Linked DNA regions of Tamandua tetradactyla. The protein of the gene in region 1 purifies or fractionates together with the protein of each later gene. This does not show direct contact. Links are inferred from orthologs where the notes say so. Each region holds a gene or a part of one and is shown in the gene's direction. Other genes may lie near its edges.

The links.
Region 2: the proteins of RAB27B (region 1) and SYTL4 purify together in Homo sapiens (co-immunoprecipitation; 3 studies listed by BioGRID and IntAct, counting the BioPlex papers as one, with this or other methods). This does not show direct contact. The link is inferred for Tamandua tetradactyla from reciprocal best matches to the Homo sapiens genes RAB27B and SYTL4.

Annotation. Positions count from the first base shown.
Region 1 is NC_135344.1:27,604,946-27,620,055, reverse strand, and holds the start of RAB27B (ras-related protein Rab-27B), read left to right. Parts: upstream 1-7,139; 5' UTR 7,140-7,190; intron 7,191-7,591; 5' UTR 7,592-8,122; intron 8,123-15,110. UniProt on the Homo sapiens protein: Small GTPase which cycles between active GTP-bound and inactive GDP-bound states. In its active state, binds to a variety of effector proteins to regulate homeostasis of late endocytic pathway, including endosomal positioning, maturation and secretion.
Region 2 is NC_135353.1:73,159,625-73,175,364, forward strand, and holds the start of SYTL4 (synaptotagmin-like protein 4), read left to right. Parts: upstream 1-8,441; 5' UTR 8,442-8,571; intron 8,572-9,522; 5' UTR 9,523-9,594; exon of another isoform or gene 9,595-9,641; intron 9,642-15,740. UniProt on the Homo sapiens protein: Modulates exocytosis of dense-core granules and secretion of hormones in the pancreas and the pituitary. Interacts with vesicles containing negatively charged phospholipids in a Ca(2+)-independent manner.

The DNA of each region.
Region 1 (15,110 bases):
TTTTTTCCCTAACAGCCCCCTATGAAATTTTTAACACCACAGATATATATGGTATGTCTATTCTTGTACGCACACATCTGTGCTTTATACGTACAAAGGGTAAGATTTTTTTCACTCTCCAAGAGCCATTTTCATCGCCCTGGGTCAATACCACTCCCATTGAAAATGCGTGGGTTATGCGTCCTTCACATTTTTCCCAGGGATTTAACTAATGCTCCATGAAGTAGAACTTCATGGGATGTAATCAGTGCATGCTGGAGAGGACCCCAGTCTACTAACTGAGCATCTCCCTTGGGTTAGTCTTGGGCAGAAATAGGGAGCTCTTCTCTGCAGACACGTCTATGTCAAGCTTCTCAGCTCTCATAACATGAAGCCAATCTTAATCCCACTGGCTAAAACATGTGAATTCTCATTTAATTGTCAACGTTTATTCGCTGCTCTCCTAGTACTCCTGACAAAATACAGTCTTAAATATTTTGTGCTTCAGGATTTCACACAATGTGTGTATCTGAGGCTACACAGTTCATCAGTTTCATACTCTTAAATCAATTTCTGGATTAAGCCAAACATGCAAAGAACAGCATTTTGACAGCCCCTCACTTTCCCTAGAACTACTTTTACTGAATTATAATTTGCTATTAATGCCATCCTTCTACACTGATGGCCATTTTAAGAAACCACCCCAAGCAATTCATTGTGAAATTTACCTGAAGAAAGTTCTTGAAGTTATAGCTCATCATATACGATAAAGCCTCTTAATGAGCATGAGGGAAATTTCTCTTTGCTTACTCCTGTGAATAATGGGTGGGCTTCCCTTGAGCAACACATTTGTTTTTATATTATGGCTACAGTGACTCATAACTATTGCATGGCCTGCCTCTAACAGTGGTAATAATGAGAAAGGATGCATTTTTTTGTACTAACCCTGCTTCTGACTTCATCCTGTCTTTCTCAGCCTCTTTTCCTCCTTAATCTGATTTCAATTATATCCTATTGTTGATTTCTAGTTTAAGGTAATTTTATTGAAGGATAAAATACATTCAGTAATGTGTACAAAGAAAAAGCATATGGTTGGATGAATTTCACAAAGAAACACCCTACATAACCAGCACACAGATGAAGGGACAGCACGTAACTAGAAATCCCCTGTGTCTTACCCTCCACTTCCTGCAAGAGAACCACTACCTTGATTTCTAAAGCCCACAGATTAGTTTTGCCTGATTTTGACATTTTAAAGTACGTGAAATCCTACAGAATTTATTGTTTGGGGTATGGATTTTCTCATTAGTCAATGCTTGTGAGATTGATTAATGTTGTTGGCAGGTAGCAATAATTTCCTATTTCTTATCACTGTACAATATGTCAATTTATGAATATACTTCAAATTAAGTTTTTATTCTTTGGACGTTTCAGTTGTTTACAGTTTGCAGTTTTTATCAATAGCGCTTGTAAAAGACTGTCAACATGTTATGAAGTTCTGGGGATGATGTTTCTAGGAGAGGAATTGGTGGGTCATAACTCTGCTTGAGCTCAGTTTTCCAAAACATAAATGCCAATTTGCCATCACAGGAGCAGTGGGTGAGTGTTTCAATTGCTCCGTATTCCTCATCAGCACTTGATATTATCAAATCTTTTTCATTTTAGCTGTTCTGGTGCGCACATAGCTGTAAATTGTGGTTTAACTTGCATTTCTCTGATAACTAATGAGGTGAGTGCCTTTTCATGCTTTTGGCCATTTGAATATCTTCTTTTATAAAATGCCTGTTCAACTTTATGACCCATTTTACTGTTGTGATTTAATTTCAACTTTACTTATTTCATTCATTTATAGAAAAAAATGAACATTTTTCTGAAACATTGGAATATAAAAAATACAACTGTGGATCTACAAGGCTAAAGTGTAAAACTGCTGGACTTCTGTGACATCATTAGGAAATTTGGTATTCCATTTATTATAAATGTCCCAAATAAAAACTTCTCCCTGTAAATATCAAAATGTTTTGTTTTAATGTTTGTATTAATTAAATTTGAATATCTAATTACCTACCTTTGTCAACTGGTTTAGTAAATATAGTTTATTTTTGCATGTGTGATGGCACAAATTCATCAGTATGAACATGCAATATTTTAAATATGCTGAGGTGTAAGCAGAAAGTCCTTCTGAAATTACTGTGAGAAATGCAGTCGACTGTTCCTTGTAACGGCCAATAAATATCAGTTGTGCCAGCAATAGCAGTAGGCGGGCATTAGGGATGTATAATGTTTTATTGTTCCTTAGGACTAAATCAGAGATAAAAAGCCAATGCTAAAATACAAAATGAAGAATATGTGAAATAAAAATAATAGTTGCTATACATGAGGTCATGGAGTCATGGAAACAGGGGGTTAGATGCTAGAGTGAACTTCAAGGAATTTTGTAAGTTTCCAATATTTTCAAAAGCTTTTGTTTTGCAATATTTTTAAATAGGAAAGTCTAATTGTAACAAAATGATTGAAAGATTGCCGTATGTGGAGCTATACAGTAAAATTTTCTCCAACTAATTTATTGGAGGTTTATTAATAGCCAAATAAATTATTTAAACAAATATTTTATTTTTATTTCTAACTTTAAAACAGACAGATCTTAAAGGCCGTATTAGGCCCCAGTATATCTTCATTTCACATTTTGAGAAACTAAGGCAAAATGAGGTTAGAGCTGGGAAGGATGAGACTCCGCTGTCTGGTAGTTATTCTGGATATAATCGTGTAAACAGGCCCGGTGTAATAAATCTAAAATAGGTCTTAATGTGCTATACATTTCAAGTAATTTGCTTTGTAGAAAGTAACTGAAACATATAACATGTATTTCTTGAGTTACATTTTTGAAAGTAGTTAGGGAAACTTGCATGACTTGGGAGTCTAGTCTTGTGACATATTAGTCATGCTTTGGGGTTTCCTGGCACTGGGGATGGGTTGATTTTTATTGTGATTAGACAGACACAGAACTAAGGATCATCAGAAGATGGAGGCAGATGCCTGCATGACTCCGTGGCCAAACCCTCCCCACAATCCCAGGAGAAAGTTTCCATCTCATCGGTGTTGGGCTCAGGTCAGGAGAAAAGAGGGCAATTTTTAAGAGGATTTTGAAGAAGGAAGGATGGCATCTTGCCTAAAAAGGATTAACGACTCATGCCACCAAATATAAGAGAAGAAACCAAATGTACTCATTTAAAGCTTTTTAAATGTTCATTTTCTCTTAGATTGCTTTTATTCTTCCTTTTCATTCTCTAATGTATCCCCAGTGCCTAGCAGAGTGTCAGACACAAGGTGCTACTTGAATGTTTGTTGAATGAATAAATGATTGTGTAAACCCTAAAGTCTGTCTTCATTTTCCAATCCAAATTCACTTTCTCTACTGCTTATAGGTTATTTTATTAACATACACAAATACTTAATAAATTGCAATGCCTTTTTTCTATTGAACAAATGTCTTTTGTTTCCCTATGTATATTTTATTTTTAATTGTTAAAACAGTTTATTTACCAATTTTACACACTATTGAGTTTATGTTAAAATAGTTTAGGATCTAGTTATCTAAATTAGTTGCACAAATCGTCTTTTCCTATCACCACCCTCCACATACAGTTATAACATAGCTGAGGATTAATTCTTTCATTAGTGTTCACGTTATTCTGATCTACATCTGAGCCAAGTGGTTTACCATAATTACGTGCCTTTTCTCTTGCAACTTTTTGTTTTCCTGGAGTTAAATCATGTCCTTTTTTAAAAAAGTATGTTTAGTATTAGCCAGAAATGCCCCAAGTGATCCTGCTAATTTTAACAGAATGGTCTGTGTAACAGTCCCAAAATTACAGTGGCTTTAGACAATACAAGTTTATTTCTTGCACATGTCACAACCCAATGGTATCAGCTGGGGTTTCTAGATCATGCAATCATTTGCACCACGCATTTCTTTCACCTAGAGGTTTTTATTAATGTCTTCTACTGCCTCAGAGCTCTGTACTGATTCTCTGTATTACCTGGACAGCAATAAGGAAAGAGAAAAGGCCTGGAGGATCTCATTAGTCATTTCAGGGGAATGGCCTGGAAGAGGCGTACTCACTCTTGCCCACATTTCAATGGCTAGAACTTAGTCCCATGCCTCCCCACCCACTAACCGCAGCTGTAGGGGGCTAAGAAATCTAATTCTTTAAGGTGCTCTGGGAAAAAGAGAAGAACATGGAATTTGATGCGCTCTTCTAGTATTCACTGCATAAACATTTATCAATATATTTTTCCAAATGTACATGTACATCTAATAATTGGTCATTTTCTTTTTTGCTATTCTATTCTTTTTCCCTTTTTTCTTGGACCATTTGTACTGCTACCATTCATTCATCTGCTTCTCTCTAGGCCTGCTTCAAAATTGTTCTGGAGAATTTATTATACTCTCTCATCTATTGAATCTACATTTCCTGGATTCTGTCTCTTCCTCTTTCATGATTTAGAAGCTTGTTTTGGGAGCCCTTCTTTGAAAGTTGTTCTTGAGAGATATATTTTTTGAGTCCTTGCATGTCTAAAGATGTCTTTAATCACAGTTGAATGACAGATTGTCTGGATATACAAATCTAAGTTCAAAGTCATTTCATTTTTTTAAAAAATTGAGCACATTCAAAGAATCTTTGGGATCCAGTATTATTCTTGAGATATTCAATGTAATTTTAATTATTTTCCTTTGTAAGTGATCTGCTTCATGTTTCTGGGAGATATTTTAGATTCTTCTCTTTATTCCTGAATATTTCTGATATTTCAGAACGATATGTCTTGTGTGTTTAATTAATTTTAAATGGTTTTTCTCCTGGACTTTTGAGATCATATGTTCATGGTCTTCATTTCTGGATTTGTTTGCACGTTTTCTTTTCTTATTTTTTCTCTGAATAGAGATAACTCTTTCTGGAAATTTCTGGGATTCCAATTGGAAATTTTTCTTTTTTTCTCCAATTTTTAATTTCTCCATCTTTTCTACTTTCTTGAATATTTTTTAAACTTCATCTTCCAACCCATCTATCAATTTTTTAAAAAATCTTGAGTATATTTTCAATTTCAAAAGTTTTATCTTGTATTGTATATAAATTTCTTTTTTATTCATTTTTTCTAAGAGCAGAGATAAAATGTGTGTGTTCAGTTCATCTTGTTGAACCACACATTACTCTAGTTTTCTCTCTCCAGAGGGTAACTGCTTATCTCCTGCTGGAGAAATTAAGCTAGGTTGAGCAGACGGAGGAATTTATGGTGGGTTGATTGCATAGCATGGGGGATTGAAACTTTGTGGCCAAGCATTCTCTCTGCAGACTTCTAACCAAATCCCTGTATTTACCCCAATACCAGGCCTCTTTCTATTATGGTATTTTGGCCTCTCAGGCCTGAGCTTCTAAGGGTTATGCAGAATTTGCTCCCTTCTTCTACCTAACCTTTCTTGCAGGCACATCTTGTATAAACTGGTCTGGTCTTCCAAATCAGTTACCAAGCCTCCACCTGATTCAGGGTCATCCCAAAATCCATTGCAGTGTATTTTGTCTGTTGGTATCTCTTTTATTTGTTTATTCTCTCCTTTTTAGTTGTCCTTAAGGGTTAATAACTTTTTAAAATTTTATTTACTCTACTGTTAGAGGAGTTTGGATAGGAGCGATGAAACACATATGATCAATTTACCATTTTTAACTGGAAGTCTCCCCATGTATATTTCTAAATCTGTTCACCTCTATGCTGCATTTATTGAATTATAATCCTGTGAAAGCAGAAATTATCTCTATTTAATTTGTGCTTCATGAACTCCAGGTACAGGCAGGCTTTTTTATTATAACACATGATGCTGTCACTTTGTGTTCACTGGTTTTCCGGTGATTTTTATGCTGCCCTAACTCTGCTTAAGCGGGCTTTACGAAGTGGCCATGCAACATTTCTCTGGTTGCCACCCACTGCCTGCTCCTCCTCAGCACCCCTCTTCCCACAGGGAAGAAACATTCCAGTGCTCTCAAGTAGCATCCCTGGGAAACTGATGGCTCAGAGCCCTCAAACCTGAAAGACAGGACTCTATGTGGCAAGTGACTCCAGGAGAGCTGTCCCTGCAGCTGCTGATTCTGGGAGTGCTGACACACTTGTCTGCAGACGGGTGACAAGGAAAGCAGACAATAAAAGTGTGCGTTAGATTTTCTCATGGCTGGAACTTTTTCTAGAAATATTGGGGTGGTGGGACAACACTGTAGTGATCACCGTGAACTCAGCGGTCAGGATCTGAGCTCTCCCTTTACTGCCCTTCACGACTCTGGGCAAATGGTTAGGACTTTCTCAACCTCAGTTTCCTCATCCTTAAAAGGGGAACAATAAAAATAAGAAGCGCCTTGCCGATTTCAAAATAATGTGAAAAACAAATGAGATGATCTCTGAGCAAAAACTTTCTAAATTTTAGTGCACATAGGAAATACACTATTAAGATCAATGTTAGTAAGTGAACACACAAACTAGGTAAACAAAACAGGTTATCATTTTATATCTCAAAGAAACATTTTAAATTAATAACGTGTTATATTCAGTGGAACAAATTCAAGGTCTTCATGTTTTTTCTTTTATCTCTAACCAGGCCAGCAAATACATACACACATCAGATACCGCTGATGGATGCAAATAAATATACCATCAAGATTCCTGGAATACATATTTTGAAAATTCACAACCTAAACCTCTAATACTTTCTCCTAGTAGATCAGAAATATATGTATATATGAACTGGATTGTGCCATGGGAGAATGGAGTAGATTAATTGCTACCAAAGTAATTACGACTAGCCAACACATACATAGAACTGACTGTGAGCCAGGCACTGTTTAATGCACTTAACTTGGATGAACTCATTTACTCACAGTAACCCTATGAAGACAATAATTATCAGTTATCCCCCATTTTAAAGATAAGCACACTGAGGCCCAGAACATAGAAACTTTGTGTTTTCCTAATAGAGCAGGCAGATTTCCCTGGGACACAGTGAGTCCTCCCTTTCCCCCCTTCTGCACTATTTTGTTTTATTTGTTGCTGCTCCTTCACCCCGCCTCATGACACTGCTGAAGGGGTTGGCCCCAAGCTGAGAAGGCCAGCGCCCCGAGAGCGGGTGAAACAGGCTGCTTATTGGTCACCAGCATGAATGCAAGCAACAGGTTTGAAGCTTTTTTATTTTCCTCACTGCTATTATATGTCACAAGCTTGTATTCTTACCTTCACTATCAGTCTGTAAACTAAGGATGTCAGTTTGTCTGCAATAAAACCCCAAGTGGGCCGGCCGGGGTCTCGGTCTGTTTTTATGGATGGATGAAGCTGAACTGTCTAGAGCAGGGCCTGCCTCATAGTCAGCACTTAGTACATCTTTGTTCAATGACTGTGTGTTTTCACTTATTCCATTTGCACTCCTAGCCTGCAGTGACTAACACGCTGATCTCTGATGTGACTTTAAGGAAGCACAATTAGGATGGCTCGTACTGATGAAAGTATTCATGTTAATACATCTTAACTTTAGGAATACTCATTTCTTTACAACTCCCCTTTTACTTCCTGTCTACAGTGACAGAGAGATTCCCTTGTAGAGAATGCAGTGCATTGGAAGATTTCCCCTCACCATGCCCTGGGTTTTTGAATAAGAGATGTCAGAGAAAACACAGAAAAACACACTTATAAAAATGAACTCATCGCTGGGGCTGGAAACCCCACAGTGTGGAGAATTTAACCAAAAGCCAAGTGTGTTTCTGCTTCCAGCGGTTGAGTCAGCAGCCAGCTTTGCCTGAGGTGAGCGCCTCACATCCGCGTTGGCCCTGGGAGACACGCCTTCTCCTCGCGCGGACCTTTCAGATCCGAGGCGGCTCCGGCCGGCTCCTGGGGGTGGTGCCAGCCGCCTGGCAGGGCCGGGGACCGACCGGTGGAGGAGCGATCCGGGGCCACAGGTCGGGAGCCGTCCCCGGCAAGGTCGCCTTGTGAAGCCCAGATCCCTGGCTGTCGCTGGTGTTGGAGCCCAGGAACCCAAGGGCCGCGGAAAGGGAAGGAAGCGGCTGTGCAACCTGACACCCAGCCCTCTCGGCCAAGGAAACTTCGCAGGCTGGTAAGTCGGGGAAGCCGGGCTGTTACTGCTGGAATGTGTGATCAGCCTTCCAGGGTATTCTCGGCTGCTGGCCTGCAAAAAAGGAAGTGAGACGTGGATGAGGAGCAGCAGGCCTGGAAAGAGGCGAGGGCGCCTGGCATCTGTGCTTTTGACGAGTCGGGGTCTGTGTGTGAGCGCGTTAGAGCTGCAGTTTCCAGCAGAAATCTTTGTGAAGTAGACGCTGATGTGCGTGCACAGCTGTCATCAGAAAACTAGCTGCCTGTCTTTGTTTATTTGGTATTTGCATATTAAACAGCTGGTTAGGACAAAAAAAAAAAAGGCACAGCGATACCTGTTTCCTCCTGTTTGCATCTCAAAAACAATCAAAATAATAATAATAATAATAATAATGCGACTAGAGTTGCATTTAAGAAGTGAATTAGTGAAGCAAGTCAGGCAAGTGATGGGATATTCTTTGCATTTCTTCAAGCTTTGTACTCGAGTAGATGAGAAATTTCTGTTTTCCAGTTTTTGCTGCATTCCTTACCATTCTGATCTAAGTGTGGAAGCTACTGGAGTGTGTGTGTGTGTGTGTGTGTGTTCTCCATTCAAGAGATCAGAATAAATTGGCCTCCAAGGTATTCCCACCCAATACATTATCTAATTAAGCATGTGAATTCTAATGAAACTGGTGAAATATAACTCATAAAAGCAGAAGTTTTGTTCCTAGCAAAAAGCTGTATTTGATTAAAGTCACCTCACCTGTACATGCTGCAGGTTCTTTCATTCAAGGTCTGAAATGAAGGGTACAAGGTTCCAGCTATTCAAATGGTACATCATTAAATTAAAAACAAATAATAGCATGTAATTTCAGGGTTACTAGCAACATAATTATTATTTTAATATATATACTAATGAATATTGATTTTGTTCTCATTAAAAGAAAAATGGGCACTGTTCCCAGCATTTAGCTCTCTCTGTACATACACATATTCAGTAATAAATAAATATATGTACTCATATGCATGATTTTATAGTTTTCAACTTTGAAAATTAACAAAGATGGACTTCAGCATTATATCCTAAGGCATTTAAGCTTACTGAATTCTCAAGCTTCTCTATAGTTCACATCATAATTATGAAGTGAGATCCAATCTTGTCTTATGCCATCCCCCCCCCAAATAGTTACTTTTCATACTTTGCTAGTAAAATCCTCCAGTTAGGTGGGATCAGCCCTTCTGGAAGACAAGAAGGGATTCTTGCGATGACCAAAGAAAGAGAAATCTTGATAGGTAATTTAAATATCAGTGAAGTTTTCTGGTTATGAAGAACTATGAACTTCTGTAGAATCTTACTATCATTGCTTTCAAAAGGAAAACAAAACATTTCAGACGAAACTGGATGAGCCTGTTCTCATAGTTGCCAAGAACGAATAAATAGAATATGTCAAATGTAAGCAAACCACAACTTTCTCATAGGCCATATCTGGAACAGACATATTTGACCTGGCAGAAAAGATATTCTAACACCAGTGGACTTCTCAGCTCCTAATACACCAAGTTATACTAAAATTATCTGCTGGTTTAAGAATTGCTTTTCATTTCTTTCACTCTTCTGGAAAAGTGGAAGTGAGCCTAAGTCCCAGGTGGTTCAGAACAGAAATCTGCTCCTTTCCTACCTTCATAATGGGAAATTTCTGGCTAGTTTCTTTGGTCTCTCGGTTCAATAGAACACAAAATTAGACCAACTATTCACGTAAAAGCTCTACTCATAATTAATCCAGTTTCTTGAGTTGATTCATCAAGGAACTGGTTGGTTAGCTAATAGTTCAGCTCTTAAGCAAGTAATTGCAATGTTGACATGGAAAACAATTACCATGAAAACAGACAGGGCAAACCCAGGTGTTTCCCATGAAGAATACATCACTTTCTAAAGATGGCTTTTGAAGGGAAATGATTTTTAATCCATTATTAGATGTATATGGAACTTCAATTTATTCCATCATGGTAGGAAGCAATGGCATCACTAAAGAATCATGAAAAACCTATTGTAAACCCCATATATGGAGTTGAGAGTATTGCTCAATTTGTTTTACGCAATTTGCAATCATTATTCATGTTCTCCAAATATTAATCTTTTCTCATCAGCTGCCCTTAAAATGAGGGAAACTTCTCTAGATCACCAGTAATGAGAATAAAATGCCTTTTAAAAAATAGCCAAAAAATTTTCAATAAATTGTCTTCTTAAACATCTGCTCAACTAGATGAGAGTAAAAGTATATTAAGATGCTTGTTCATTGAATAACAAGTATTTATTAATAGCATCATGCACTATTCTGGGCACTTTGTGTATAGAAGTAGACAAAGCAGTCAAAAATATCTGTCCCTATAGAGCTTTCATTTTACAAGGGTAGACAGAGAGTAAACAAGGTGTGCAAGTTAAATCAGGGTACATGAAAGTAGGGGCTAAGGAGAGACTAGAAAACAGAGGCGGAGCAAGTGCTGGTAACACTGGACAAGGGACATTTGGAAGTCGGGGTGGGTGCACAGGGAGAGCCTCACTGAGAAGAGGATATTTGCATATAGAGTTGAAGGAAGTAAGGGGGTGAGACAAGTGGATACAAAGAGAAAGAGAATTCCAGAATGAAGGAACAAAGAGCAGGGCATCTCCTAAGAAGAGCGAAGAAGGCTGTGTAGCTGGAGCAGAGGGAGTGAGCCTGAGAGAAGCAAGTAATGGGATCAGAGCAGTTATGGGACTTGGTCATGGAGAGCTTTGAGGGTCATAATCAGCATGGTGCCTTTTGATTTATATTCTGAATGATCTGAGGAGATACTATGATTTAGATACAATTTATCAGTGATCCACTCAACAAATGTTTACTGAGCACCCTATAGCCCTGGCTATCCTCTAAGCATGGTGGATACCCAAGGGCATTCCAAGAAGAATATATCACTTTATAAAGGGGCTCGGCCATTATGGCATTTACATTCTAGTGTGGAGAGATAGACCATGAGTAAATAAACAAATGATTTTGTACGTTCCAGTGATAGCTATTCAGGAAAAAAAAAATTAAGGGTAAAATAATGTGTGACTCAAGGAGACTCTGTGATCCAGTGATTGGGAAAAGCCTCAGGAGGGGTAACAATCTGCTTAAAAGATAACTCTATCTACCTTGAAGAAAATGGATTTCAGGGCGTCTAGAGCAGAAGTAGAGACCAGTTAAGAGGCTATTCCAGAGATGACAGTGGCATAGATAATTGTTGGAACAGTGGTCATGGAGTGAAGTAGATAGATTCTGGAAGTATCTATCTACTTGCTCTTGGATTAGATAAAAAGTGAGAAATACAGGAAGGGAAAGATCAAAATGATCACTAGGCTTTGTACTGAAGATACTGGGTGAAGCCGTTTCCTAGGATGGCTAATGCCAGGGGAGGAAGAGATTTGAAAGGGAAATTAGAGTTCACTTCCACCCATTTGAGGTCTTTTTAGGTATCCAACTGGAAATGTCCGTTTGGGCTTTTTGGTACGTGAATCTAGAGCAATTGGAAATCACAGCTGAATAGAGAAGCTTGGGATTCAACTGCCTATAGATGCTTCTTGGAGTCATGGTCTTGAGGGTATCACCTAGAGAGATAGGAGAGAGAAAAGTAGAGCACTAAGGTCTATTCTAGCATTTAGGGATCTAGAATAGAAGGAGCTGGTAAAAAAAAAAAAAACCGAGAAATAGGAGGCAGACCAGGAGAGGTGTAGTCGTGGAACTCAAACAAGAAAATATTTCAAGAAGAGAATGGCCAATTGTGTCCGATATTGCTGAGATGAGGAGGGAGATGGGGATGAAGCTGAAAGCATAGTATGAAGAAGAGTAAAGTCCAAAATGGGCCGAAGCTTACATAAAGGCTAAGGAGAGATAAAGATCTTTTAACATGTTTAGAGCAAAGTGGTGAATAAAGAACTGCCATGTCACTAGATGTGAGAGAAAGTAAGATCGCTCAACTTCTATTTTGCTGCCCTTTTCTTTTGTATAAAAGAAAGCAGTGTTTTGGGAGGGCCACGGTGGCTCAGCAGGCAGAGTTCTCGCCTGCCATGCCAGAGACCCGGGTTCGATTCCCGGTGCCTGCCCGTGCAAAAAAAAAAAAAATAGAAAACAGTGTTCAAAAATGGGAAAGGTTTAGCTAACACTAAAACAATTAAAATAAATCTGAGAAGTTGTTATGACTGAAAGTAACTTCTTTTAGTGGGAAAGAGTAATGGTGGGAAACAGCACTTGAGTTGAGAACTGAAGAATGTCTGGATACCCACCAGGTAAAGAGTTAGGAGAGAACACTCCAGCAGAGGGAAAAGGGTCTGCCAGTGCTAACCTAGGAAAGGTCTTAGGACACTAAAGGAGCTGATGGGGATGTTGAACTAAATGAGCTTCAAATTATATTCAAAGCTGTGATTCTAACAAATATAAGAATATAATTTGTTTGATATTTGATAGATATTCTAGATCGTGCATTAAGAAATGATGGTTAATATTTAGCTAATACAGTTGTAAAAATAGCAAAACAGATCAAAGTAAATTAAACTGTTAACTACCATATAAACCAAATGTTTAATACCCAGAAATGCAGTAGAAGTATTTTTAAGTAGGTAGAGTAGTCAAGGATACCAAGGCCTTTTGGGAACAAATTCAAAGGGGCAGATACAGATGTCGTAACTGGTGCTGTTTGAATCAAGCCATTAGGAGTCTATGACTGATCAAATACTGCTAGTACTGACAGCATAAAGCTGTGGGCATGGAGTTAAGTCTCCTTAACTTGATTTTCTACTGTATAAAATAAAAGGAATTGATTAATTATTTTAAGATCCTTATTGTGAAACACTTAAGATCCTTATTGTGAAAGTCTAAACCTGAATAACCTACAATTCTTGTTTCATATTTGGCTCCTTCTTTCTTGTTTTCTTTCCTCTCTTCCTTCCATTTATGTATCTATTCACCCATCTAGACAGATAGATAGATAGATAGATAGATAGATAGATAGATAGATAGATAAATAGATATGTAGATGTATATATGTAGATATACATGCAAATGTCTGAGGGAGGGAGAGAGATATGTAGACTACAAAAGAGAGAAAACTTTAATTTTAAAAGGTATAAGAAGAAGAACAAGACTTTATTTTTGTCTTTGTGTAGCACATACATTTATATTGATTCTGGTGAAATTGGGGTCAATCCAATCTGAATTTTTTGTTGCTTCTCTCCTTAACTTGTTCAGAAGAACAAAACTGTGCATCAAATCTGACCTGGGAGATACACAAGAACACAAATAATTTAAAAAAGCAAAATTGCTTTGAATTATATTTATCCATTCCAACTTAGGGAAGGCCCTCAGAGCCTGAGAAGTTTGTTAAAAGAATAACTTTTTGTCTATTATTCAAAGTATGTTATTCTCATTAACAAAAAATACTGTTGATAAAAATTTCTGGACATATGGGAATATTCAAATATGGAATGAGAGTAGATTTTTGAAGAAAGGGAAAAGTGTATCTTTTTGCTAAAATGAAAAAATAACATAGAAACATTTTCCAATGTCAAGAGTTGCCACATACTGAATAATGAATCTTAGTCTGACTTAGGCTCTACTTTTCTGAAGTTTCTGCCCAAATGCTTGGAAAGCAGGTGCAAAACAGCCCATTTAGTAAATTATTAATTCCCTGAATGAACTGAAGATAGATAACCACAACTAACTATATATAGAAACTGTCATTTCCAGTCCCTGCCTCCATTCCCACTCCACCCACATTCTATCCTAGACAGATATTCCTAAGCTTGGTCATATAATATCTGTTATCAAACTCTGACTTAGGGTTTTGAGATACAATGCCTCCATTGGATGCAAGGCTGGAAACAACACTGCAGGATATACCTTAGAAAAAAAAAGTCACTTTAGTGAAACCTTCTTGTATTCATAACTGTGAAAGTTACAATGTAATGATGCAGAGTTAAATAAGTAGGGTAAATAGGGAATCATAAAGAAAAGCTTATTCTTTCATCTTTAGTTGGAAATGGTATACTGGTTGTTGAAGACTACATAGTAGCAATAAAATGAAATGAACAACTTTCCAGTTGCTTTTCTCACAGGCCTTCACTAGGCCATTAGTAGGTACTACGGATTTTTAAATTTGCCTATATAATCTCTCCAAATCTCTTTAGTGTTTCACTTAGATACTAGAAAAACCAAGCAAGCAAAGTCAAATGCTTTCCTCATTAACCCTGATTCTGGATTCCTTTTTAATTTAGGAACCCCCTGTCCTGAGAGTTGACATACTTGGCAAATGGATAAAAGTCCTTCTGTTTGAAATCCTAATGCAGAGTATTCCTAGTTAAAGGTGAAATGAGATGAAAAATTGAGCGTACCTTTGCATATCCATAAGGGCAAGTTAAACGAGGCTGTGGGCTTGGTCTCCTCTGCAGACTTGGGGAAGGCCTGGCATTTATCTGTTTCCTGTGCAAGCTGTGAGAAAGTCAATGAACTCTATGTTTGGTTCTCTCTGCAAAAAAATAACTGAGTGGCTATGAAGATAAATTTCCCTTGAAGCATAATTGTCTCCTTTTGGTCCTCAGCAGTTTTTATGGTCAAGTATGTTTTTGACGATTCGGACTTCTTGAAGTTTTTCACTCTTTCAAAGTGTGTCTTGACTTTTAGAGTAGACTCATGTATGAGTGAGATCCAAGGAACCAGAAATCAGTTTCCTGCCCTTCAGTTCCTGGAAGGCATTGGATTTAGGGAGATTTTACTGAAATATAGCTATGAAATATAGGTCAGTTAGACTAGAGCAGTAGTGTTGAGTCTCAGAATCAATATAGTAACTATTCAAACCATGTATTTGAGGGTGTGGGATCAGAGGATTCCTTCAAAAGAAAAATGGAACCATGTATAATAAACTATATATTCAAAGAAAGGGGTTCTGTTTGCAGCACACTGTTCTATAATTGGTAGAAACCTTTTTATTTGTCTTACTCT
Region 2 (15,740 bases), on another chromosome or scaffold:
AAGGGCAGAATTAAGATAGGTCTGAGAGGCAAAGTAACTAGTCAAGTGAAGGAGATAATTCCCTAAAGGGCATATCTTCCCCAAGAAAAGGAGGGGGTGGGCCCATCTCAACAGCTGAAGCTTGCCTTCTATTTTAGCCTCTGTCTCAACCATGCCCCTGGCAGGGACAGGGTCTGCTGAAAATTAAAAACACTACACCATTTTACATTGGTGGTTGTGGTGGTGGTGGTGGTGGAGGGGGGGAACTGCAGGCTGAAAAGTTCCACCTGCTAGGCAGGATATGAAAACACAGAGTCTAGAGGCTTCAACAAGGAAAGCCTGACAACCTGCTGGGTCTCATCCTCAGGGAAACTTGATACTGATTACACCCTCTTCCTGAGACCTGGCCTGTCTGGTCCTGGAAAGTCTGATTGTGGTTGATCATATATGCGGAGACCCTCCTCATAGAAAGGTTCCATAAGGCAGGGTAAGAGCCAGAAAAACAAGAGCTAAAAAATTCTGATCAGTTAAACAGAAGCCATGCTAGAGATCTAGAATAAGTTGAACTGAATGCCAAAGAACAGGTAGAGAACAAAGCCAACCAACAAGAAACCCCTAGGTAAAAGAATGAAAATGACCTCCCAAATAAACAAATCAAGTAAATCAGATGTCTAGACACCAGTAAAAAAAAAATTATGAGCCATATTAGACAAAAATAAGATATAGCCCAGTCAAAGGAACAAATTAAGACTTCAAATGAGATACAGGAGTTAAAACAATTAATTAAAGATATTCAAACAAACATTCTAAATCAAATAAAAAATCAAATCAATGAGTTGAGGGAAGATATGGCAAAAGAGATGAAGGGCACAAAGAAGACACTGGGAGTCCATAAAGACAAACTTGAAAGCTTGAAAAAACAAATTTAGAAATTATGGGAATGAAAGGCACAATAGAGGAGATGAAAAATGCATTAGTGACTTATCACAGCAGATTTGAAGAGGCAGGAGAAAGGATTGGTGAACTAGAGGATAAGACATCTGAAATCCTACACACAAAAGATCAGATAGGGAAAACGATGGAAAAATATGATCAGGGTCTCAGCGAATAGAATGACAACATGGAGCATGTGAATATATGTGCTATGGGTGTCTCAGAAAGAGAAAAGTAGGGAAAAGAGACAGAAAGCATAATGCAGGAAATAATCACTGAAAATTTCCCATCTCTTATGAAAGACATAAAATTACAGATTCAGGAAGTGCAGCACACCCCAAAGAGAATAGATCCAAATACAACCTACTCAAAGACACTTACTAATCAGATTGTCAATAGCAAAGACAAAGAATTCTGAAAGCAACAAGAGAAAAGAAAGCAGAAACCATGGAGCCGAGAAGGCAGTGGTTTGATATATTTAAGATACTGAATGAAAATACTGCCAACCAAGAATGCTATATCTAGAAATAGTTTTCCTTCAAAAATGAGGGAAAGTTTAAAATATTTTCAAACAGACACTGAGAGAGTTTGTGAACAAGAGACCTACTCTACAAGAAGTTCTAAAGGGTACACTACAAGCAGATAGGAAAATACAAGACAGGTTTGTAGAAGAGTGTAGAAATGAAGACCATCAGTAAGGGTACAGAGTAATGTCATGACACATGCAACACCATAGATGAGCTTTGTGGGCATTATGTTGAGTGAAATTAGCCATAAACAAAAGGACACCTACTGTATGGTCTCATTAATATGAACTGACATTAATGGGTGAACTTTGAGAGTTAAAGTTGAGAACACAGGTTATCAGGAGATGGAAAAAGAGTAGAGATTGGGCATTTGATGCTGAAGGGATACAGAATGTTCAACAGGATAGATTGTAAAGGTCCAGAAATGGAGAGCAAAATACTATCTGAAGGTAGCACAATATTGTAAGTGAACAAAGCTGAGTGTGAGTATGGGTTGAGGGAGGATGGCTAGGGGCATGTATGGCACCAGATAAAGACTGGGACTGTGTAATTTAGCAAAACCTAAAGTGGACTATGATGGTTATTAAATGTACAAATATAAGAATGTTTTTGTATGAGGGAAAATAAATGAATGTCAACATTGCAAGATGTTGAAAATGGGATGGTATATGGGAGAAATATAATCAATGCAAACTAGGGTTTATAGTTAATAGTAACATTGTAATATGATTCATTAAATGTAACAAAGACAATATACCTAAGCTAAACATCAGTTAGAGAGGGATGTAAGGAGTGGTATGGGATTCTTGGTGTTGTTTCTCCTTTTATTTACTTTATTATTTTATTTTTTATTCTTCATTTTTCCCTCTTCTTTCCTTGTAGAAGAAATGGAAACATTATCATATAGATTGTGGTGGTAAATGCGTAACTATGTGATTATACCGGGAACCATTGATTGTTTACATAGAATGGATAATACGGTGTGTGAATAAAACACTTTAAAACATAAACAGAAAGTTACAAGTGCTGGGGAAAATCTGGAAAGAGAGATGTACCTATCCACTGTTAGTAGGGAACTAGAATGGTGCAGCCCCTCTGGAGGGCAGTGTGGTGGTTTCCATAGGTGACTAAGTATAGGGTTGCCATATGATCCTGAAACCTCATTATCAGGTATATACTTGGAAGAACTGAAAGCAGGGACAGGAATTGACCTTTGTACACTGGTGTTTATGGCGGCAGAATTCATGATTTGCAATAGATGGAAGTAGCCTAAGGGTATGTCGACTAATGAACAGAAGGGCAAACTGTGATGTATACATACAATGAAATATTGAGCAGCTGCAAGAAGGAATAAAGTTGAGAGGCATGCAACTAGGTGAACAAAGCTTGAGGACAGTATGTTGAGTGAAATTAGCCAGAAACGAAAAGACAAATATTATAACAATGACTTATATGGACTAACTATAATGTGCAAACTCTGAGAATTGAGTTCAAGACCATAGGTTATCAGGGGGAACGTGTAGTTAAAAGTTCCTAGATTGTAAGTTCTTACAGCAGTCACATCAATTCCTGCATTGTAATGGTTATTTCTAAATTCTGAGATGCTGAGCTTTTTGTGTACAACCTGTTTGTCCTCTGGAACTTCAGGTATTTGTGTGACACCTGAGATTCAGAGTTAGAGTTCTGCAGCTCTGAAGTTGGCATTACTCCATACACTATCTAATTTAACTTATATGGTCAGTTTATTCGAACATCATAATTAAATGAATCTTGCATAGGGTATCAGATCTTGTTGGTTTGTACAGGTTAATGTGATGGCCTGATATATGCCAGAGTAATCTGGGCAGAAAATAAAAAAGCATCTGTTAAGTCCCCTTGAGGGAATGGGGGAAAAGTGGAAACATTAAAATTTCCCACCTCAGGAATTCCTGGTATTCTTACAAGCATTAGGAACTCCCAGTTTAATAAGTCAAGCCCTTGATCTTGGGGCCTGCCCTTATGCAACTTATTCCTGCAAAGGAGAAGCTAAGCCTATGTATAATTTGCCAAAGATTCACCCCCAGAGAACATTTTCTGTTGCTCAGATGTGGCTGCTCTCTCTAAGCCAACTCTGCAGCAAAGTTGGGCATGACTCCCAGGGTGTAAGTCTCCTTGGCAATATGGGACATGATTCCTGGGGATGATTCTAGTCCTGGCATCATGGGATTGAGAAAGCCTTCTTAACTAAAAGGAGGAAGAGAAATAAAACAAAATAAAATTTCAGTCACTGCAAGATTTCAAATAGAGTTGAGAGGAGATTCTGGAGGTTATTCTTATGTATTATATAGTTATCCCTTTTTAGTTTTAGTGGATTAGTATAGCTAGAAGGAAATACCTGACACTGAACTGTGATCCAATAGCCTTGATTTTTGAAGATGATTGTATAACTATATAACTTCCATGGTGTGACCATGTGATTGTGAAAATCTTGTGACTGATGCCCCTTTTATCCAGTGTATGGACAGATGAGTAAGAAAATAAAGACAATAAATAAATAAATAGTAGGGGAATAAGGGTTATGGAATGTTTGGGGTGGTCTTTTAAATTCTTTTTATTCTTATTTTTTTTCAAATAATGAAAATGTTCAAGAACTGATTGTGGTTATGAAGGCACAACGATATGATGATACTGTGAACCATTGATTGAACACTTTGATGATTATATGGTTTGTGAATATATCTCAGAAAAACCTAAATAAACAAGTATATAGTTATTCATTAACAGTAATTTTATATATATATATATATATATATATATATATGAAGGAAACAGTGGGCAACAGCATCAAACATTGCTAGAGGGTCAGAATAAAATAAAACACAAAAACAATCACTGCTCATTTTACCAAGGAGTCCCTATCTTTTGCTTTTATATCCTGGTAAGTAATGGTTTGGCTTCCCTTCTCCCCAAGAGGCTTTTTAAAAAATAGTATATGTCCACTTCAGAATAAATCACTTGAATAGGTCTTAAAAGTTTTCAGCCCTTCATTACCAATTTCCAAAGAAAAACCAGTCCTGAACTTAGTCTTGGCCATAGATAAAGGAACCCATCCTCAGTACAATTCAGCACATTTTCCCCTGACCTGTACTCTCTTCTTGAATTCAGCAGCAAAACCTGCTTATTGACATTTGTATACACCTCCATTTTACTCCCTTCCTTTGAATGTCCTTCTCCCTTCTCCCCTTCTACCATACATTTCAAAAGTATAAGTAGAATGTATGAAGAACTCTAACAACTTAACAATAAAAAGACAAGTAACACAATTGAAGAAAGTTAGACATGCTAATAGATAATAAGCACATGAGAAGATGCTCAACATCATTCATTAGTCATTAAGGAAATGTACAGCAAAATCACAATGAGATGCCACACTTCACACCCACTAGGTTCTATGATTTTTAAAAAGACACATAAATACAAGCTTTGGTGAGGATGTTGAAAAATGAAAACTCCCATACATTGCTGGTGGGAATGTAAATTGGGGCAGTTGCTTTTGAAAGTGGTCTGGCAGTTCCTCAGACGGTTAAACAGAGTTCCCAGATGACCTAGCAATTCATTCATAGGTATATACCTAAGAGAAATGAAAACATATGTCCATATAAAAATGTATTCACGAATGTTCATGACGGCATTATTCATAATAGCCAAAAGTGGAAATAACCGAAATGTCCATCGATTGATGAAAGGATAAATAAAAAGTAGCATATCATTATTCAACAGCAAAAAGAAGTACTGATACATACTACAATGTGGATGAACTTGAAAACTTTACACTAAGTGAAAGAAGCAGTCATAAAAGACTACAAGTTATGTGATTTCATTTACTTGAAATGTCCAGAATAGGCAAATCTTTAGAGACAAAAATTAGATTAGTGGTTCTCTAGGGGAGGGAGATGTTGGAAGGAAATGGGGAGTAACTGCTAATAGGTAGGTGGTTTCTTTTTGGGGTGATGAAAGTATTCTAAAATTCACTGAGGTTATACTTGCTTGCACAACTCTATACTAAAACCCACTGAATTGTGCACTTTAAATAGGTGAATCATATGGTATGTGAATTACATCTGAAGAAAGCTGTTATTAAAATAAAAGTGTAAGGAGACCAAATTTTTTTCTAAGGAGCCATTTGTAACTATTCCCATTCAGCTTGGGGTCACCAGAGTTTTCTTTTTGTATTTATGCATGCAATCCTGCTCAATTGCATTTGCCTATACAGGGCCCTTTCTTTCTGTGTACTTTGTGCTTACCTATGCATTAGCATTCTAATCCTCAATTAATGCTACGCTATGCCTTCTCTACCTGTATGTCTAGAATTTCCAGAGAACATTATACAATCATGTGAATTGAACCTCAGAATGGAGGAGTACATGGGCTTCAACTATATTGGCAATGCTTTATTTCTCAAGCTGAGTGGTGGGCATGTCCTTGTTGCTATATTATTCTTTATATGTTTATGAATTTTAAAATATTTAATACTTTTTAAAAAAGTAATTGTTCAATACCGTCACCTGGGGCTGAGGAAAATCTCCATCTCTTTAGTTTGCAATAGCCAAAACTCCTTCAAAGTGGCAAAGCAGAACAACTCCATGAATCAAATTATTCACAATGGATTAGGAGCTTACATGCTATATATAAAACGATAATCCATAAATTCATGCTTACATTTTTGCACAGGATAGCACCTGGGTTTGCTTGCGTTAGATCCTTCAAACTATTTAGTATATGAATCCTTGTGGCAGACAAAGAGGATCAAATAGAAATTGATAGCAATTTGCAAAGTACAGAATATATGTAAGCAAACCATTGATTAACTTTGTTTTGGTTCATTGTTTATGTTGGTGTCTCTGTGTATTTGCAGCTGGGTTAGTGAGACGCTTAGAGAAGACCAGTCAGATCCTCACATACTCTTTAATGAGGCAGACCTTGCAGGGTTAGAAATTGCACATGTAGAAAGAAGTAAACGCTTAAAATAATATCTCGAAATTTTGCAACTTGCTGATGAATAAGAGGGTTGAACTAAATGTTTTCTGAAGTCCCTTCTGGCTGAGGGTGTTAGCAGTTCTCCCCAAGTACCTCCTGGGAAGGGGCAGAGAAGTGCTTGGTCTGAATGCCCACAGGCCAGGGCGAGAGAAGACTCCTATGCCTCTCGTACATCATTTCCACGACGGAGGTTTGGGAGATGCATTCAAAGCTCAGGGCTGAGTAGAGTGGCCTCGAGGCTGAAGTGGCAAAGCTAGGTAGAAAAAAAGGATTTCCTTTTTGAAATGACCTCACTTCAGGCTGGGGGCAGGGTATTGAGGGGCTAAAGTAACTAAGAAAACTCTGGGAAAGAGCCTGGGAGCTGTATTTTACTGTTTGTCTGCTAGAATGAAGAAAATTTTTTTCTTTACCTTTTTAAGATTTTAAAAAAGATTTGTTATATTATCAAAGCCATACATGCTCATTACAGGATAGTTGAAAAATACAGAAAAGAAGAAGAAAAATGAAAATTCATTTAGTCCATTGTATGACCATATTTTAATTTAAAAAATTTTTGTTTTGTAGTATAACGTATATACAAAGAGAGAGAAAAGCAATAGTTTTCAAAGCACTCTTCAACAAATAGTTACAGGACAGATCCCAAAGTTTGTCATGGGCCAACATATGATCCTCTCAGGTTTCTCCTTCTAGCTGCTGCTCCTGAATATAGGAGGTCAGAAGGCATAAATATTTTTTTATCATCACAATCGACTTTTTTTCTTTTTTGTGAAAAATGACATATATACAAAAAAGCAATAAATTTCAAAGCACAGTACTACAATTAGTTGTAGAACATATTTCAGAGTTTGGCATGGGTTAGAATTCCACAATTTTAGGTTTTTACTTCTGGCTGCTCTAAGCTACTGGAGACTAAAAGAGATCAATTTAATGATTCAGCAATCACATTCATTTGTTAAATCCTATCTTCTCGGTGACCATACTTTAATTTACTTAACCATTGAACCATTAGTTTTCTTCCCTAGTATTTTACTATTCTAAGAAATACAAGGAAGGTAAGTGGTGTGTTGGAGAAGGAAGCCAGGTTGCTGGAGAATAAGAGATGAATGAAAGGTAGGAGAATGGAAATAGGAATGTACCTTTAAAGTACATTTTCAATCAACTTGCCTATAAAGAGGAGCTGGAGTCGACTTCGTGCGTAGGGAGGATATATATTTTTTAAGGTGAAGGAGAATTGAGCATGTTTAATTGCTGATGACAGCTTCAGAGAGGCTTGAACAGGTTTAATGGCTAATGAGAGGGAGGGAGGGAGAGAGTGAAACCTACAATCTACAATACTGGGTAGATATGAACATTTTAAAATCTATTAGTATATATTGCTCAGGAGCTTTGTAAGACGGTTTTTACCAGTACACTCCTACTAGCAAGTCTGAGAGAGCTCGTCCGTGGCCACTTTGCTATCCGTAAGTTACAATAATAATAAAAAAAAATTTGCTAAAGAATCGCATCATTCTAATTCGCTTTCTTTGATTACTAGTGAGCTGAATATTTTAACCAGTTGTTCCTTGTGTGTACATTTAGTTTATGTCCTTTGCCCACCATGTTTTTATTTGAGACACTCTTATTTGCCATAAAAAGCCGAAAGCCAAAGGATCAGAATGATATAACATTTTAGGCTTCCAATTTATGCAGTCCAGAGTCTTCATATTCTTAAGTACACGACAGTTTGACAACTTTGGGCCCAGCTGAGCGGAAGAAGGTAATTTTTACCATCGAAGAGAGTAGGCACAGATGGAAGTAAAGTCTTAAAACCGTCTAGTCTTAAAAACCTGTCTTCAGTCCTCAAGCTCCCTTTCCTAACCCGGGAGACACCCATTTGGTGGCCAGAGCTGCCCTGGCGGGAGTGGCCCGCTAGTAAGGAGCCCAGAACGCTGTGCGGCCCCTTTAAGAGTCCAGCTCCTCCCCGCTCCAAAGAAAGTTGCAGCTTTTTCCGCCTCCCGGGAGGGTGAGAAGGACGGGCCGCAGGAACGGGCTTGTGGTCTTCCTGGAGTTTGAGACTCTCCTCTGAATCCGGCCCTCGGACATCTCATCTGCTCGCAGCACTTATTGCAGGTGACAGGTAGGTGCGCGACCAGCGGCCGCCCCTTCTCCCTCAGTCCGGTGCTCCTTCTGGGCCCCCAGTCCCCTTTTCGTTTCCGAAGCGCCCCCTCCCACTCCGCGTCTCAGGGACCTGCGTCCTTCCCCCACGCCCCTTACGCCATTCTTGTCTTTCCTTCTTCCTCGCTGACCGTCTGCCCCCTCACCCCTATTCGCCTCTCTGGACCGACCACCCACGCGTTGCCTCCAGTGTGCTTGGGGCGGTCACTCCCTGCTGGTTTTCTTTCTCCCGGGCCTCTAGTGTCCTCTTCCCCTGGCCCACCCGTTACTAACGCGGGCGGTGCCCCTGTGGGCTCTGCCTCCTCCCTTCCCCACCCCCACGGAGTGCACCGGCTTTTCCCGCCTGCCAAAAACCAGGGCCCCTCGGGAGAGCTAGCCGTAGGGGCGGGGATAGGGGCCAGCTCCTAGCGGAACTGTGGCGCCCTCCCAGGCGTCGAGTCCCATTCCCATCGATTCCTCCTGGCCCGAGTGCTAGCGGGATCTCTGCTGCTCACTGCCTCAGGACCTCGGACTTCGCGGCATCGGCTTCCCCAGCCTTGGCCGGTCCGCCACTGGTAAAGGCTGGAGGCTTGTTGGCCCAGAGCCCTGCCTCAGTGGGCTTTCTCAGCGCTTGGGGTTGGTGACCCGGGACCAGGCTTTGTGCTCTAGCACTGAAATGCTTTGTCTTGCCATCCTTTAAGCAGGCTGCGGGGGGAGGGGGGTTGCTTCTGGAGGAGAGTCCCCGTAACCTTCAGAAGGGGGCTTAGAATGCTTCCAGCTTCTGTGATGGTTTGTAATGGGCAGAAAAGGTGTCCCTAATAGCTCTTAACGTTGAATGAGATGGTTGGGTTTTTTTGAAGGTAAAATCTTTTGGTTAGAACCCTAGTGGCTTAAAGTGACTTGTTTTTCATTAACCGACTTTTTCTTCCCCCAGTGCCCTGCTGCTTCGGACCAGAAGACCTAGCATTCCAGAATACAGCTTTTGGCAGGGTTGGCCCTAGACCTTGTACGTTTGTGGCAGAAATTAGTCTTCAATACATCCTGGACTTACAGGTTTTTAAATGGCTTCTTTCCTGCCCTCTCAACTCCCCACCTCCACCTCTCATAAATCCATTCATATTAAGGTGTTAATGACCTAATGTGTTTATCCTGCTGGTCTGCAGAGAGAACTCTTTAATGCAAAGAGTTGAGGTGCTGATGAAGTTTTTTTTTTTTTTTAGCACCTGCTGGAAATCCTAGTAGAAAAACACCACCTTGGTTTGTGAGGCTTTTCTTGGGCAGGGGATGAACATTTTGGATAACAACATTTCAGGTACCTCACTCCTGGTCAGAGCGGTAAAATGGAGGTCAGAGTGTACTCCTTGAGTGTGTGTAGATTCTGGTTGATGGCCTCTCCTTAAAGGTTGCTGGTAATAATAGTTGTTAGACTCCATTGAGCCAGTGTAATAAACTCATTGCATGGTTATCTCATATAATCCTCATGATAACTCTGCAATAAAACTACAATTATGACCATATTATGATGAAAAGGAGGCTTAAGTGCCTTGTCTCAATCACCCACCTGATGAGGGGCAGAACTGGGCCACCTGACTGCAGAGCTTGTGTTTTTATCCTCTGTCATAACACCTCTACTGTCTTGGATATTAGGAATGCTAATTGCTCATGACTGAGGACTAAGTGATTAAAAATATCCCTTCCAAGATGAAACATAAGTTTTGATCCTTGATTCTACTTTAGATTCACTGTGGAGACTTTGGACAATTTACTTCAATGATGTCTTACCCACTTTCCTTCCAACATGGGGCCAATTGCTATGTTGCCACTCTAAGCACATACCTTTGTGTGTATCCAGATGAGTGAAACCTGGGCTTTCAGCTCAGTAGTGATTCTCCCGAAGTTAGGAGAGGGTAACCCTGGATTCTAGGGATGTGCACCTGGTTCAACTTCTTCCTCTTCTTCTGGCTAGGGGAGAAATGAAGGTGTGGTAGGTGATAATGATTTACCTACAACCAGGCCAGAGAGCCTGATGATGATTGTGTGCTTGTTTTGTCATGGCATGCATGGGGCATACCATTTTTGGGTAGGGATAGTCCAGGGTAAAATGTCCTCCTTGATCTCATCTCTGAGACATTGCTCACACTGCTCCCCTCCCCTTTTTTTCCTAAAAAAGCTAACTTGCTACCTGCACACACACACCAACCATTAATTTTTATTCATCTCTAAATATTTAGCTCTAAAGTCACCTTCTTTGGGACAAACTCACTGAATACTCACTTCCTTCCCCTAAGCAGAAGGACTGATTACCCCGTGTCCTAAGGCAGTTGTTTATACCTCAGTAGAGCCAACACTTATCCTACCTGTTTTTCCATGTAAGGTTGTACCCTCTTTAAAGGGCAAGGTCTGGATCTTGGAGTTCTCTTTGTCCTAAGTGCAAGGGATTAACAAGTATTTGTACTATTAACTGGGGATGTAGTGCCCTCAATGGCCTGAGGTCTGGTGATGGTGTGAAGTACAAAAGACATCCTCCTGAGGCACTTGAAATCCTGCAGCTCAGTGTTTTTACTTAAATGTCACCTTGTCAATCAGGCCTTCCCTGACCACCCTATTTGAAATTGCAACTGCTTTTCTGAGCATTCTGTATAATCCATCCCTTCTTGATTACTCTCATTTTTCTTGCCTGTTGTCTTTCTCCCTCCAATATAACATAAGCTCCCTGTGGGCAGGGACTTCTCTGTTTTATTCGCTGGTATATCCCAGCACCCAGAACAGAGCCTGGCATATCGTAGGTGCTTACTAATATTTGTTAAATGAATTGATGAACGACAGTACCATTCTATGAACTGGCATTCTTTTGTGGTCTCCTGGACCTAAGGTGAAGCCCTACCCAGTTGGACACACTATAACTGTAAGGTTGCCCCAGACTCAGTTCTCCCACAGCCTTCCTTCTGCTGGGTTTTACTTTGACATTACGTTCTTGATGACTACTTTGACCTAGTTGTAAGTGCTTCCTCTCTTATTTTGAAGCATGGATTTCTGGATAGAAACTTCTAAAGTTTAAAAGTGGAAGTGTAAAGATGCTGTGCTTCTTGTTGTTAGGAAGGGGGACCACACTAGGAAGAGGGACTGTGGATTGTCAGAAGTCTTGAGGCCCTCAAGGCCTTTGGCAAGCTCCGTAGGAGGTTAGAGAAAGTTATTGTGGGGCCTGGGAAGTCAACAGCTGAAATGAATAAAGGGTGCCCCAGTTCAGACTACTGGCCTCCCAGTCAGGTTACCCTTAGCCTTTCAGGCATGGGTTGGTTGTTGCGTTATGAACTTTGTGGAAAGTCATAGCTGAGTGCTACTTACTGTACTACTTGATTAGTTTTTTTTTTTTTTTTTGACATGGACAGGCACTGGAGAACCAAACCCAGGTCTCTGGCATGGCAGGCAGGAAATCTGCCCCTGATTAGCTTTTGTGCTAGGAGAATTACGTGGTGCGAGGGAACCACTGTGTAATATAAAAGAAAAAAACAAGACGAAACAACAAAACAACACTGTTCTGTCTAAATGTGGGGTTTTTTTTTAGAGCAAGTAGGTAAGAAATTTATTAAGTGTACATGCAGAGAAAGGAGCATGTGGACACTTTTGCAAGTAAAGAAAGATGGAGCACAAGAGGCAATGGGCAATGTGAGGCCATTTACTTTTGTAGATTAGCTTTACTTATTTCCCTTCCCCTTCCTTGTTCGGGGCTCTATCTCCTACCCTCCCTTCTTCCCAGGGCCATGTCTGGTGGTAGACAGTACAGATGGGTGGGTCTGTTGGTGTCACCCTTCTCTGAAGGTGACTCACTTAGGTGGGGGTCATTTGGCTCCAGATGGGTTAGCTGCCCGAGTGTTTTCCATAAGCGGGTAGCCCCTGGCAAAGTATCTGTGCTGGACACAGGGCCTGCTGACCTTGATTAACCATCCTTGTTCAAGGGCTGCTTCATGGTTTTCACTCTCTCCCCTCTCTCCCTGTTCTAGCCTGCCTCAAATTCCCCCTCAGAGAGTTCTCACCCCTCAATTTTGAGGGATGCCAAGGAATGTTGGTCTGTCTTCTGTAGCTGCTTCTGGCTTATTGGGGGGTGTAAGCCCACTCTGATGGGGCATAGAACTCTCTGGATATCTTATTTAAGAGAGGAGAAGCCCGGAGGCACGCTTGGAATGGCTGAAAATCCTTGCATAAATATTGGTTTGGTGTGAATAGCTTCTAGTCTGGAAGAAATAAACTTGGTGAGAAGCTTAATAATGCGAGGGCCTAGTAACAGCAAGGGAAGGGTAGAAGTAAGTGGGCTTAGGGGATGCATTAGCCAAGTGAGACTAGGGAAGAGGGATGGAACTGACCATCTTTCAAGTCTAAGAGTGAATCTTAACTGGGTGGCTTGTTCCTGTTTAACTGGGGAAGAGTGCTGTATGTGCTAAGTTAAGGGGTGCAGGAATGGGGCTTGATTGACTGGGCTGCAGTTTTGGCTACTGTGTTGGTCCAGTTATTTCCTTGAGAGATGTTAAGATTATTTTTCTGATGGCCAGGGCAATGAATTACTGCTGTTTTTTTTTTGTTGATAAGAGCAAGGCGTTTAAGAAATTGAGTATTTCTCAGTGGTGTTTGAGAGAAAGATTCACTTTTTCTACACTGTTGCATGAGCATGCAGGACACATGCAAAAAGGCAGTGTTCCCTTTTTCTAGTTTTAGAGCTCAGGTGAGGACAATTAGTTTTCATTTTGAGTTGAAGTCCCTGGGTCAAGGCTTTGACTTATTAAATCGGAAGCCTACACTGCTTAAGAGAATAGAAGAAATTCCCTAGGTGGGGAAATCTAATAGTTTTATGGGATTTTGTTTGTTTGTTTTTTTGGTTTTAGGGACTTTGCAAATGTATATTTTTATTTTTTTCTTATAATACTTTGGCTCTTATTTTGGTCTTACACAGAACTTTTTTTTTAATTATTTATTTAAAAAAATTTAACAAATGAACTAAAACATTAACATATATAGTCAGTAATTCACAATATCGTCACTTAGTTGCATATTCATCATTTCTTAGAACATTTGCATCAATTCAGAAAAAGAAATAAAAAAGACAACAGAAAAAGAAATAAAACGATAATGGGAAAAAAAAAGATTATACATGCCATACCCCTTACCCCTTGCTTTCATTGATCACTAGCATTTCAAATTAAATTTATTTTAACATTTGTTCCCCCTATTATTTATTTTTATTCCATATGTTCTACTTGTCTGTTGACAAGGTAGATAAAAGGAGCATCAGACACAAGGTTTTCACAATCACACAGTCACATTGTGAAAGCTATATCATTATTCAATCATCCTCAAGAAACATGGTTACTGGAACACAGCTCTACATTTTCAGGCAGTTCCCTCCAGCCTCTCCATTACATGTTGAATAAGAAGGTGATATGTACTTAATACATAGGAATAACCTCCAGGATAACCTCTCGACTCTGTTTGGAATCTCTCAGCCATTGACACTTTGTCTCATTTCACTCTTCCCCCTTTTGGTTTAAAAGGTTTTCTCAAAATCCCTTGATGCTGAGTCTCAGCTCATTATAGGTTTTTTCTCAATCCTTTCGTATTGAGTCTCAGCTCATTCTAGAATTTCTGTCCCACGTTGCCAGGAAGGTCCACACACCTGGGAGTCATGTCCTATGTAGACAGGGGGAGGGTGGTGAGATTGCTTTGTTGTGTTGGCTGGAGAGAGAGGCCACATCTGAGCAACAAAAGAGGCTCTCTTGGGGGTGACTCTTAGGCCTAAATTTTAAGTAGACTTAACCTATCCTTTGCTTACACAGAACTTTTAAAGTTTTAGAATATAAATAATATTCTATATATCTTAGCCCTAACTAGATTAGCATAATTTACATATTCTGGTATGGAGTAATGCTGAGTTTTAGACCTGGAGAACTTTAACTGTGAGTTTCGGGTGTTATGTATATTCTTAAAAGTTTTAGGGAACTACTAGGCTACACAAAGAGCAAAGCGTTTTAGAATTTAGATATAGCAGTTAAAGCTTAGGAGTAAATGTGATTGCTGTAAGAGCTTACACTTTAAATTTTAATTTTTTATAAGCATTTTAAATGAATTTACTTTTAGAAATAAAACATTTGACAGCTGTTTTATATTAGGCTTATTACCTGCAAACTATAGTAGAAGTTTTTTTCTGTTTTACTTTTTTTAATGTTTTTTAACTATGAAATATGACATATATACAAAGAAAAGAAAGAAAAAGCAATACTTTTCAAAGTACATTTCAACAAGTTGTTACAGACCAGATTTCAGAGTTTGTTATGGGTTGCCATTCGCTATTTCAGATTTTTCCTTCTAGCTGCTCCAAAACACTGGAGGCTAGAAGAAATATCAATATAGTGATTCAGCAGTCACACTCATTTGTTAAATACTATTTCTGTGTTATAACTCCTCCTCCTCCTTTGATCCTTCTCCTAATCTATAGAGGTCTTTAGGCAATGCCCATTCTGACTTTTACATGTTGAGAAGGGATGTCTACACTAAAGGATGGGGGGATATAATTAGTTGATAATCTTGGAGAGGCTGATCCCTCTGGGTTTCAGGATTTATCTGGCCTAGGAACCCTCTGGAAATTATAGGTTCCAGGAAAGCAAACTTAGTGCATGAAACTTTTATGGAGTCTCAGTTCGATCCTAGATGTTCTTAAGAGTTAACAAGGAGTGATGTTGGTTGGGGTTTAGCAAACCATTACAATTAGCACTATCTAACTGAAGCACTATCTAACTGAGGCTTGTATAAGAGTAGCCTCTTGACTCTATTTGGTCTTTCTTAGCCACTGATGCCTAATTTTATTACACTTTCCCTCCCTTTTGGTCTGGAAGGCATTGTCGATCTCACAGTGCCAGGGCCAGACTCATCCCCAGGAATCAGACCTTACGTTGTCAGGAAGACTTTCACCCCTGAATGTCATGTCCCACGTAAAGGGGTGGATAATGATTTTCCTTGCAGAGTTGGGCTTAGAGAGAGAGAGGCCACATCTGAGCAACATAAGAGATTTTCTGGAAGAAACTCTTAGGCCTCGTTATAGGTGGTATTAGCTTCTCCACTACAGAAATAAGTTTCATAAGGGCAAGCCTCAAAATCAAGGGTTTG